Linked DNA regions of Yarrowia lipolytica. The protein of the gene in region 2 purifies or fractionates together with the protein of the main gene of each other region. This does not show direct contact. Links are inferred from orthologs where the notes say so. Each region holds a gene or a part of one and is shown on either strand. Other genes may lie near its edges.

The links.
Region 1: the proteins of YALI1_D25744g (region 2) and YALI1_D07271g purify together in Saccharomyces cerevisiae (affinity purification with mass spectrometry; 3 studies listed by BioGRID). This does not show direct contact. The link is inferred for Yarrowia lipolytica from reciprocal best matches to the Saccharomyces cerevisiae genes CCT6 and VID27.

Annotation. Positions count from the first base shown.
Region 1 is NC_090773.1:725,211-730,074, forward strand, and holds YALI1_D07271g (uncharacterized protein), read left to right. Parts: upstream 1-1,928; coding exon 1,929-4,349; downstream 4,350-4,864. Other genes in the region: YALI1_D07252g (uncharacterized protein), read right to left, coding at 1-24, 101-213; YALI1_D07257g (uncharacterized protein), read right to left, coding at 266-562, 608-682; YALI1_D07299g (uncharacterized protein), read right to left, coding at 4,613-4,737. UniProt on the Saccharomyces cerevisiae protein: Has a role in the negative regulation of gluconeogenesis. Required for vacuolar catabolite degradation of fructose-1,6-bisphosphatase (FBPase).
Region 2 is NC_090773.1:2,572,435-2,576,854, reverse strand, and holds YALI1_D25744g (uncharacterized protein), read right to left. Parts: upstream 2,458-4,420; coding exon 2,324-2,457; intron 1,955-2,323; coding exon 517-1,954; downstream 1-516. Other genes in the region: YALI1_D25786g (uncharacterized protein), read left to right, coding at 1-139. UniProt on the Saccharomyces cerevisiae protein: Molecular chaperone; assists the folding of proteins upon ATP hydrolysis. Known to play a role, in vitro, in the folding of actin and tubulin. In yeast may play a role in mitotic spindle formation.

The DNA of each region.
Region 1 (4,864 bases), about 1.8 Mb from region 2:
GCACGTGTGTTCAGACAACAGTCTCTACGGAGTTAGTGCTTTAGATCGGATGGCTATCTGAAGAGGGTGATATTACGATAGGAAAGATGGAGCAGATTACCCACGTCCACACGTTTCAACGCACCCCAAAGTACATACTCTCGAACTGGTTGCTCGGTCGAGACGGAGTGCCATGTGCACACATACTGAGACCCATAGACAGCATAGAGGCATAGAGAGATGTGGGCGTACAGCCGTAGAAACATCTGTCCATCATTCACCGGTGCTATTCCAGTCTTCTTGGACTTGCCATGTTCAGTACAAGTACATCTTCCACATCAGGACATGTCAATGGAAGATGAAAGAAAACCACATAGATCAGAAGAAGAAGAGTCAATGTAGCCAGAGAGTCAATCAATGCATTCATGAACCCGTTTCTGATCATATGCTCATCTTTCAATTCAAATTCCAACCGTTTATCCAAATATAAATACCACCTCGACCCCCTCAACAGGTAGACATAACCAACACCACCAGCACCACCACCAGCACCACCACCAGCACCACTACTACAATGATCAAACTGACGCTGACTGAGGAGCAGTTCGTCCGTCTATTAAGACCCGACAGGATCCCGATTAATCCACACGCGTGCTGTGTTCAATAAGAGCGATCTTACACACATGTTTCTCAGTGGACTCATAAGTGAATGAATACTATTACTACTGTACTCGTACTAGTACCCATAGCCAGTTGTTGAACCTGTAAGTGTTAATAACAATCAATGGTCGAACACACGGTCAAATAACCAAGACAGGTACAGTACCGGCTCTGCAGATCTGAGGTGTTGCACGCTACCAGCGTAAAAGTACATACTGGTACAATGTTCCACCCACTCACATACGCCAAGGAGACCTTGACAGTACTTTATGACCCTCCTAAACGCTCCCCCGTCTTTTAAGCCCAGTTGCGGCTATATCCTGGTGAAAATACGGCTCCCGGTGATCAGCCATAGTCAAGCACCAGAGAGAGCCTAGTTAGTATTGTAGCGTGAGACCAAACGAGAATCCTGGATGCTGCAATTGTTTCTCCAGTTGCAAAGAACGGTCGGTGTATGTTTGAATAGTACATCTTCTTTTTTATTGCTGTGGACCATGTTGAAACGGGTGATGCACGACGAGTACAAGTACAACTACAAGTATGGCAGGATGTGTACATACAATAGGGGTAGAGCGTAGAGAACAGGACCAACGAAATCACAAGTGTGCTGCAAATCCGGGGAAATTGATACTCAATCTGAATCAGATCAAGATTTAGAATTCATTGATATAATTATTCACACCCCTATTCTCAGTAAAATTGTCCAATATGGAGCCATTACTACGGGCGTCCCTTCACAGGCTCTTTGCTCCACCTACCACAACAAGAACACCACTTTTTCCAATGAACAGAAAAGTTGAGGGCAAATGGAGATCTGGAGAGCATTCATCGTCCGTTATATAATCTGAATCCGTCTTTATTTTCACCCCTCTCATACAATATTTCGACTTGTATGTACAATGTCTTACAGTCGAGTGATCCCCTATATCAAATAATTTCCAGCACTGTACGATATCCACTGTACGATATCCACTGTACGCAGACAGAAACGTGATTCGAAGCAGACTCAAGCCATCATGTTCATCCATCGATTTTACCATTTCCCAGAAATTTTCGCAATTTTCCGCAATTTTCCGCAATTTTCCGCAATTTTCCCAGATTTTACGCTTTTCCAGCATTTTCCCCCATTTTTTTATTCACCTCACCAAAACCCTATCGTTATCGACCCGTGACCTCATTTAAGGTTTAGGTCGTCTGTTGGGCCCCGTTGCCACGGTTACCGCGCCCCAAACAGAAGGTTATCCCTCCACTCTTCACGCCACTCCACTCCATTACGAGTTCATTCGAACATGAATTTTCTGCGCAACATTCTGGGCTCTGGGTCCAAGCAGGAGCTTGCGGTGATCCCGTCAGGCCAGCTGTTTCTCAAACGGTCGCCGCACTCGGTCAAGGGCGTTTCCGAGTGCATCTACAAGGAGGCAGCCGCCATCATCCGAAAGACCGAGGTGGAGTTCCAGAGCCAGCTCATTGTCCAGAGAGTCTACGAGGAGGGCGAGGAGGCATTCGAGGGCACCGAAGAAGAGGACCAGCTTGACGACGAAGAATGGTGCTATCTGATTGACGAGGCCCTTCGAATCAGCTACTTCATGCAGGACGGCCATGTGGTTGTGACATGGAACGATCTCAATGGCGACCCCGGAGACCGGTTCGAATTCATCTGCGACACCAGCATCAAACCCGAGGTGTATGACAAGTTCTCCAAGGTGGCCCAGGAGTGCATGTACGAGCGAAAGTACACTGCAAGTGCAAAGGGAGTCAGCGAAGACGATCTCAACGAGTTTGACTACCCTCCTCCGGTAACAGAGGTCGAGGCCAATGAGTCTACCGCCGTGGACGAGTCCGTGGCTGCTGACTTTAACGAGGTGGACAAACGCGTGGCACACGACACGGAAGGCATCTTCGTTAAGGAGGAAGAGGAGGGGAAGAAGGAGAACAAGGCCCACGCTAGCGTGCCTACAGCTGCTCCCGAGACTGTGGCTGCCGCGGTGGCTGCGCCTGCCTCCGCTCCTGTTGTGCAGGACTTGCCCCAGTTCGACGCTCTCCTGGGAGAGAACAATGCTGAGCTGCATCTGTTTGATGCCGGGACCGGTGCGTTTGAACTGCAGGCAGCCTCCACCACCGTGCGAATTGAGGAGGTGGCCAAGCAGTGGGAGTATTGGCTGACTGTGACGAACGGAACCAAACCCGTACTGGGCATGCCCATCACCTCGGAGATGAACCCCTGCTTCAACTACGAGCATCTGTCGTTCATCTTCAACTACTTTGCACCTACCGGAGCGGGTTTCTCGTGGCTGCTCAAGTTTGGCTCGTTCGAGGAGCTCGAGATCTTCCAGCAGGTGTTCATGCAGGCTCTGTGGCAGAGACTGCATCGTCAAAAGTACACAACCGCTCCCGAGACAGAAAAGGACTACCTTTCCGAAGCCTTTGGAGCTATGGATATTGACGACGAAGGCACCACCGGTCTGGAGGATCTTCCTGAGGAGGACGAGGATGAAGATGAGTTTGAGGACTGCCCCCAGGGCCCCGCACGAGACTTCTCTGATGACGAGGAGTACGACAACGACGAGGTGTTTGGAAAGAACGACGATCTCGACAAGAACAAGCTGCTTGCCGTCGGAACTTCCAACGACCGGTCGTATGTTGTACGAGGAAACCGAATTGGAGTGTTCAAAAATACTGCCGACAACGAGCTCGAGTTTGCCACCACTATTGAGAACATTTCCAAGCCCGACAAGACGTCGTTCAACCCCGACAAGATGATGCTGCATTACCAGGACAAGCACATTGTGCTGCAGGACAAGTCTGAGGGCAACAACCTGTACAAGATGGATCTTGAGTACGGTAAGGTGGTGGACGAGTGGAAGGTGAGTGATGACTCCAAGAACGGCGTTGTCAGCTTTGCTCCCTCGGCCAAGTTTGCGCAGATGACTGGCGAGCAGACCTTCCTGGGAATGGCCAACTCGGGTCTGTTCCGAATCGATCCCCGTCTCAGTGGATCCAAGCTGGTTGATAGTGAGCACAAGAAGTATGCCACCAACAACCAGTTTTCGGCTCTGACTTCCACCGAGGGTGGCCACATTGCTGTGGCCTCGCAGAAGGGAGAAATCCGACTGTTTGACCGACTTGGAATCAATGCCAAGACCGCTCTCCCCGCCCTTGGAGATCCCATTCTGGGCGTCGATGTGTCTGCTGACGGCCGATGGATTCTGGCCACCTGCAAGACTTATATTCTTCTGATCGACGCTACAATCAAGGATGGCAAATACGAGGGCGAGACCGGATTCAAGCGGTCGTTTGCCAAGGACGCCAAACCCCGTCCCAAGCGTCTCCAGATTTCCCCCGAGCATGTGGCCTTCATGCTTGCCGAGACTGGTTCTGGCTTGAACTTCACCAAGGCGCATTTCAACCAGGGCCCCAATTCTCGAGAGCAGACGGTTGTGACGTCTTCTGGCCCATACGTGGTTACTTGGTCGCTTAAGAAGCTGCTGCGAGGAGACGCCAACCCCTACCTCATCAAGCGGTACTCTGACCAGGTTACTGCTGGAGACTTCCGATTCGGCACTGACAAGAACGTCATTGTTGCCACCGAGGACGATGTCAACATGGTGTCCAAGAAGTCGTTCCGTAAGCCCACGCGGGAGTCTCTGGCGACTCCTGGCATGCGACGGGGCACTCTGGGACGAAGTAGCATTGTTAACGAGTTGTACTAGGTGGACATTAGGAGCGAGTTGATGGACCGGAGAGATAGCTGTGCATTTGAAAAACGAAAAAACACAAGCAAAAAGAAAGAAAAAAAATACAACTGGAAAAGTTGGTTTATATAGTTAATAGATACCTAATGATACTACAGCATTTGCAATTCTGAACCAAAAGATGGGAATGCTCGAGTCTTGTTTGTGAATCGGTGTATCCTTGATTCATTCCAGTCGCGTGTGGAATTGTCAGGTTCAATAATAATATAATATATACACGGCTACTTCTTCTTGCCAAACTTGGCCTCGTTCTTGAGCTCCTCCAGGAATATGGACAGGAAGCTCTTTTTGTGGGTTAGTTTTTCAAAGGCCTTTTCGCCTTCTCGGAGGAGGGGATCATGGGAGACTATGTTAGTAATTTGGCGGGGGGCGGGGCAGGTCAGTCATTGACTGGATGAGCCGTAGCAGTGGGCGGGAGACATAACAGCGAGGAGCGAGAGGCTTTAGAGATGACAGCAAGACTAGTCAGTGAC
Region 2 (4,420 bases):
AATCAAGGAGGAGTCCGAGCATGTCAAGGCCGACGAGTCCACCGACGATAACGGACTGGTCGTGGAGACAGACTCAATCGAGAAGCCGCCCTCCTACGACGAGAAGAAGCAAGTCGAGGAGATGGTCCAGAAGGCCTGAACAAAACCAACACTTAATGACTGACACTTAATGACTGTACTCCAGCGACTGTACAATACTTATCAACTATTTGTACCTCGAGAATGAGGAGTAATGATTGTAGAATCATTCGTACATCTGAACTGTGCCCACCAACAATTCAGTAAGTAGCCTTAACCCTTACTCAACTATTACTACACTACAATCAACTTATAATTAATGAATGTATTATGCAGAAAATAATAATATAGACGGTGGCTATCTCGTACTTGTACTGCACACGTTAGGCAGGGACTACTTCTTCAACTTCCCTCCTCTTGTCATGTCTATATTCAATTACATTCATTCGTATCCAACCCATACCGCTTATGGCCTCATTTTATGCTCTACACCTCCCCTTACTGCTGCTTCAACGAAGATCGACCAGCCTTGAGCAGCTCGTCGCACAGCAGCAGGTTGGTGGCAATACCAGTGGCACTGGCAATGCTGTTTCGGATCACCCGGAACGAGTCGTAGACACCCTCAACCGTGGGGTCCATGGGCTCGCCGGTGGTCAGATCCAAACCCACAAGATGGCCCTCGGCAATCTCGTCCTGGCACTCGGTAATCATGTCAAGAGCGTCGTAACCGGCGTTAGAAGCCAGAGTCTTGGGGATAATCAGCATGGCCTCGGCAAAGGCTGTGATTCCGTACTTGGCCTTACCCTTGGTGCTTCGCGCGAACTTGATGAGATGCTGGTGCAGAGCGAGCTGGAATGCGCCGGCACCAGGAACAACAGCCTGGTCGGTTCGGCAGTTGGCCACAGCTCGGAGACCGTCTCGCACCGCATCGGAGGTCTGGGCAATGCTGTGAGAGTTGGGGGCTCGGATCAGAATGGTCACCGACCGGGGGTCCTTGACCTCCTCAATGTAGGTGTACTTCTCCTCGCCAATGGTCTCCTCGTAGACCAGACCGGCCCATCCCAGAATATCGGGACGCAGATCCTCAACCGAGTTCTGGGCCTCTCCTCCACACACGAGCTGCAGACGCTCCATGTTTCGTCGCTTTGCTCGTCTCAGGGCAAAAATGCCGTTCTTGGCCAGAATGTCCAGAGACAGAGGATCAATACCCTTCTGGTTGACAATAACAAAGCCCTCGCCGTTGGCACACACTTCCCGCTTGAGTTCGACAATCTTCTTGACCTTGTCGTCCACAAACTGTCGCTCGGACTGTACCAGCTTCTCTCGCTCCTCAGCAGTGGAGTAGAAGAAGCCGGCGTTGACCTCGGACTTCTCGTACTCTAGAGACACGTTGAGAGTGAGCACAAACGCGTTCTCGACTCTCTTGGGCATGTCGGGGTGTCGGGGACCATGATCCAGAACCAGACCTCGGATCAGCCGAGTGTCGTCGGGTCGCTGCTGCTTCATGATCTCAACCATGTGCAGATCGTCTCCAACTGCCAGAACGGCATCGGTGACGACGGGAGCCAGACGCGCCACCAGAGTGGGGTTCACTTTGGTGGCGAGGGAAGATCGAGCGACCGCCAGAAGCAGCTCTCGGTCGACGCTGCCGGCCTTGTTGATCTTGAAGGTGTCGAGGAAGGAAAGGGCCTCCTTTCGAGCAATCTCAAAGCCCTCAGCAATGACTCGGGGATGCATCTCAGTGACGAACCGCTCGGCCTGTCGAAGCATCTCTCCAACGTAAAGGACAACCGATGTCGTACCGTCACCGGTAATGTCGTCCTGTGCAGTGGCGGCTCGGGCAATCAGTACGGCGGTGGGGTTCTGGATCTGCATCTCGGACAGAAGCACCTTTCCGTCCTTGGTGAGCTTGATTCCTCCTGCTCCATCAACAAGCCTGGGTTAGTATTGTATGACTCTCGTGATGTGCTTTTGGTGATATGACTTTGGTGATATGACTCTGGTGATAAGACTGTGACGTGTCTTGAAACAGTGATATGGCATATCTGTGTTCATTTGATAACTCCTGTCGTGGTACGTCCTCAATCAAGTCGTGACCACGTCAAAATGAATCCTGTGTCGTGGTTATAACATCCTGGCTTCCATCATGTTCCAATTACATAAACAGGTGCAATTGCAACACAATAATCAACAGCACCATCGTCGTGTACAACATAACACGGACAGATGCTCATCATTACCCTTAGGACGTCTTGAACTCCTTCTTGATGTTTGTCTAACACCAACTGATCGCCACCATACTCACATTTTGATGGTGCCCTTGGGACCCAGATTGCTGCAAAGAACGCTCTGAAGACCCTCTGCGGCGGCAATGTTGACCTGAAGCGCCTGCTGCCGTCGCAGGGACTCGGCCTTGGGGTTCAGTAGTTGCACAGACATGTTGTGTATGTGTGATTCGAAAAGTGTGGAAAACAGAAAAGCCCCGTGCAGATAGGATTTGGTGACGTCTTTAATTTTCACAGACGAGGTTCGCACACACTCTATCTGCACTCAGGCACTACTTTGGGGGACGCGTGTTCGATTACCGGTGGCGTAGAGAATAACGTAGAATCTTTTAGAAGACGAAATATATAAATAAACAAAAGGGTTGCTTGACTGATGGATATTTCCAGGGACGATATACATTCACTCGTTTTATGCCCATTAGACCCTCTATTCTCCGTTGTCCGGACAACGCCTCACTTAGTCAGGGTTAGTTGGACGCCTTAGCAACTCAGCAACACGTGTATTGAGAGCAGCTCACCGACTGTACGAGCACGAGTACGAGTACGAGAAATTGTACATAGAGATTAAACGAAACGGGCAGATAGTTTTAGTCACGTGATTGAAATATTGGCACCTCCCGTGTTTTTCATTTCAGTACCTGTGCACTCCTGTGTTCTCGTATTACATAATATTAACATATGCATGCTGAAAAAAATCCCACCTGGCGTAATTATGAGTCCACCGCTGCAGGAAAAAAAATTTCTGCAGTATATATAGCAGACCATGTCCTTGACCAGAACTTCACTGCCTGTGATGGTTTTTTTTTAATTAGACTCTGATCACACATGAGGTCAAAAAATGTCAAATTTGCTGAGGCAGTTCCCACACAATATTTAGTTGATATAATCAGGTTAGGAAGAGGACATGGATATCGCCAGTTCTGAGACCTAGAGGTTATGAGCCATAGCACGGCAATAGCACAATCTATTGCCAATTGGCAACGGACATCCATCTACACGTCGTTGGTGCTGATGGCAGGTGTCACGAGCTGATTTGACGGTTTCCGGACATCTTCGACGTGTTTAGAGCCAAGGCTGACAGTCATCGCTGACAGTCATCATCTACAGAACGACATCATGCCTTTTTGATCGCAGCAATACACAGGTTATGACCAGTGCCTAGCGCAGTATATACATACAACTCAAGCTCCAAGGTTCTCCTCTGATCTCTTTGGCCGACTTATACATGCTGGTAGGAACTCCTACATGCAGATACGCACACGTTGGTACGTCCATTGGTACATTAATAGTGACGAAAGAAGAGCTCTGAACCGATTAGTGAAACACGATGGCATCAGCTGTTTCCTCCAATAGACGGCCAGCTAATAATCTTACCACCCCACGTCTCCACCGATGATGTCTCATATTTAGCCTCGTCTTGATAGCTGCCATTTATTATTCAGACGAGTTCGGCTACGAAGACCAATTGATCATTATGCCGGGTACAAGTAGCTCCAATTTCACGTGACCAACGACATTAGAAATTCCGCTACCCATACCGGTACTGTACCTGTATCTATCCGTCTAACCGTTTGTAACCTGCTTACGCACGTGCGCATTCCTCGTTAGTTTCATTTGAAGGGGCTAGCGGCTATTATCTTCATTAGAGGCATAAATCGGTCCATTTTAGACGCCCTCTCCTGGCAGGTATCTCCGGTTCTATCAATTTGCCATTGCTCGGTCTTTGGCAATGCCTCCATATATTTCATTTCATGGTTACAATACACCTCAGACAGCATCGGATGTCTCACACCACCATGCAGCTGAGATGCATCAAATATGCACGGCGATGCACAAGTCGACGATACCAAGCGTAAGCGAGTGGATACTAAAGCTTGGGCTGAAAAATTTGTACTGCTAAAAAATGTACTGCTAAAAGTTTGTACTGCTAAAAAAAATATGTGCTGGACTAACACAGCTACGACTCCAATTTGATACAATATCAATAAATAAACTGCAGAACAATAAATAGAATGTGCAAGAGAGTTTGCACGGCGCTAGGAGCGCGGACGTAACGTCAATGTTTGCTTTCACAAGGAAAACAAACGGTCCTAAGACAATTCAAGGGGTCCACTTTG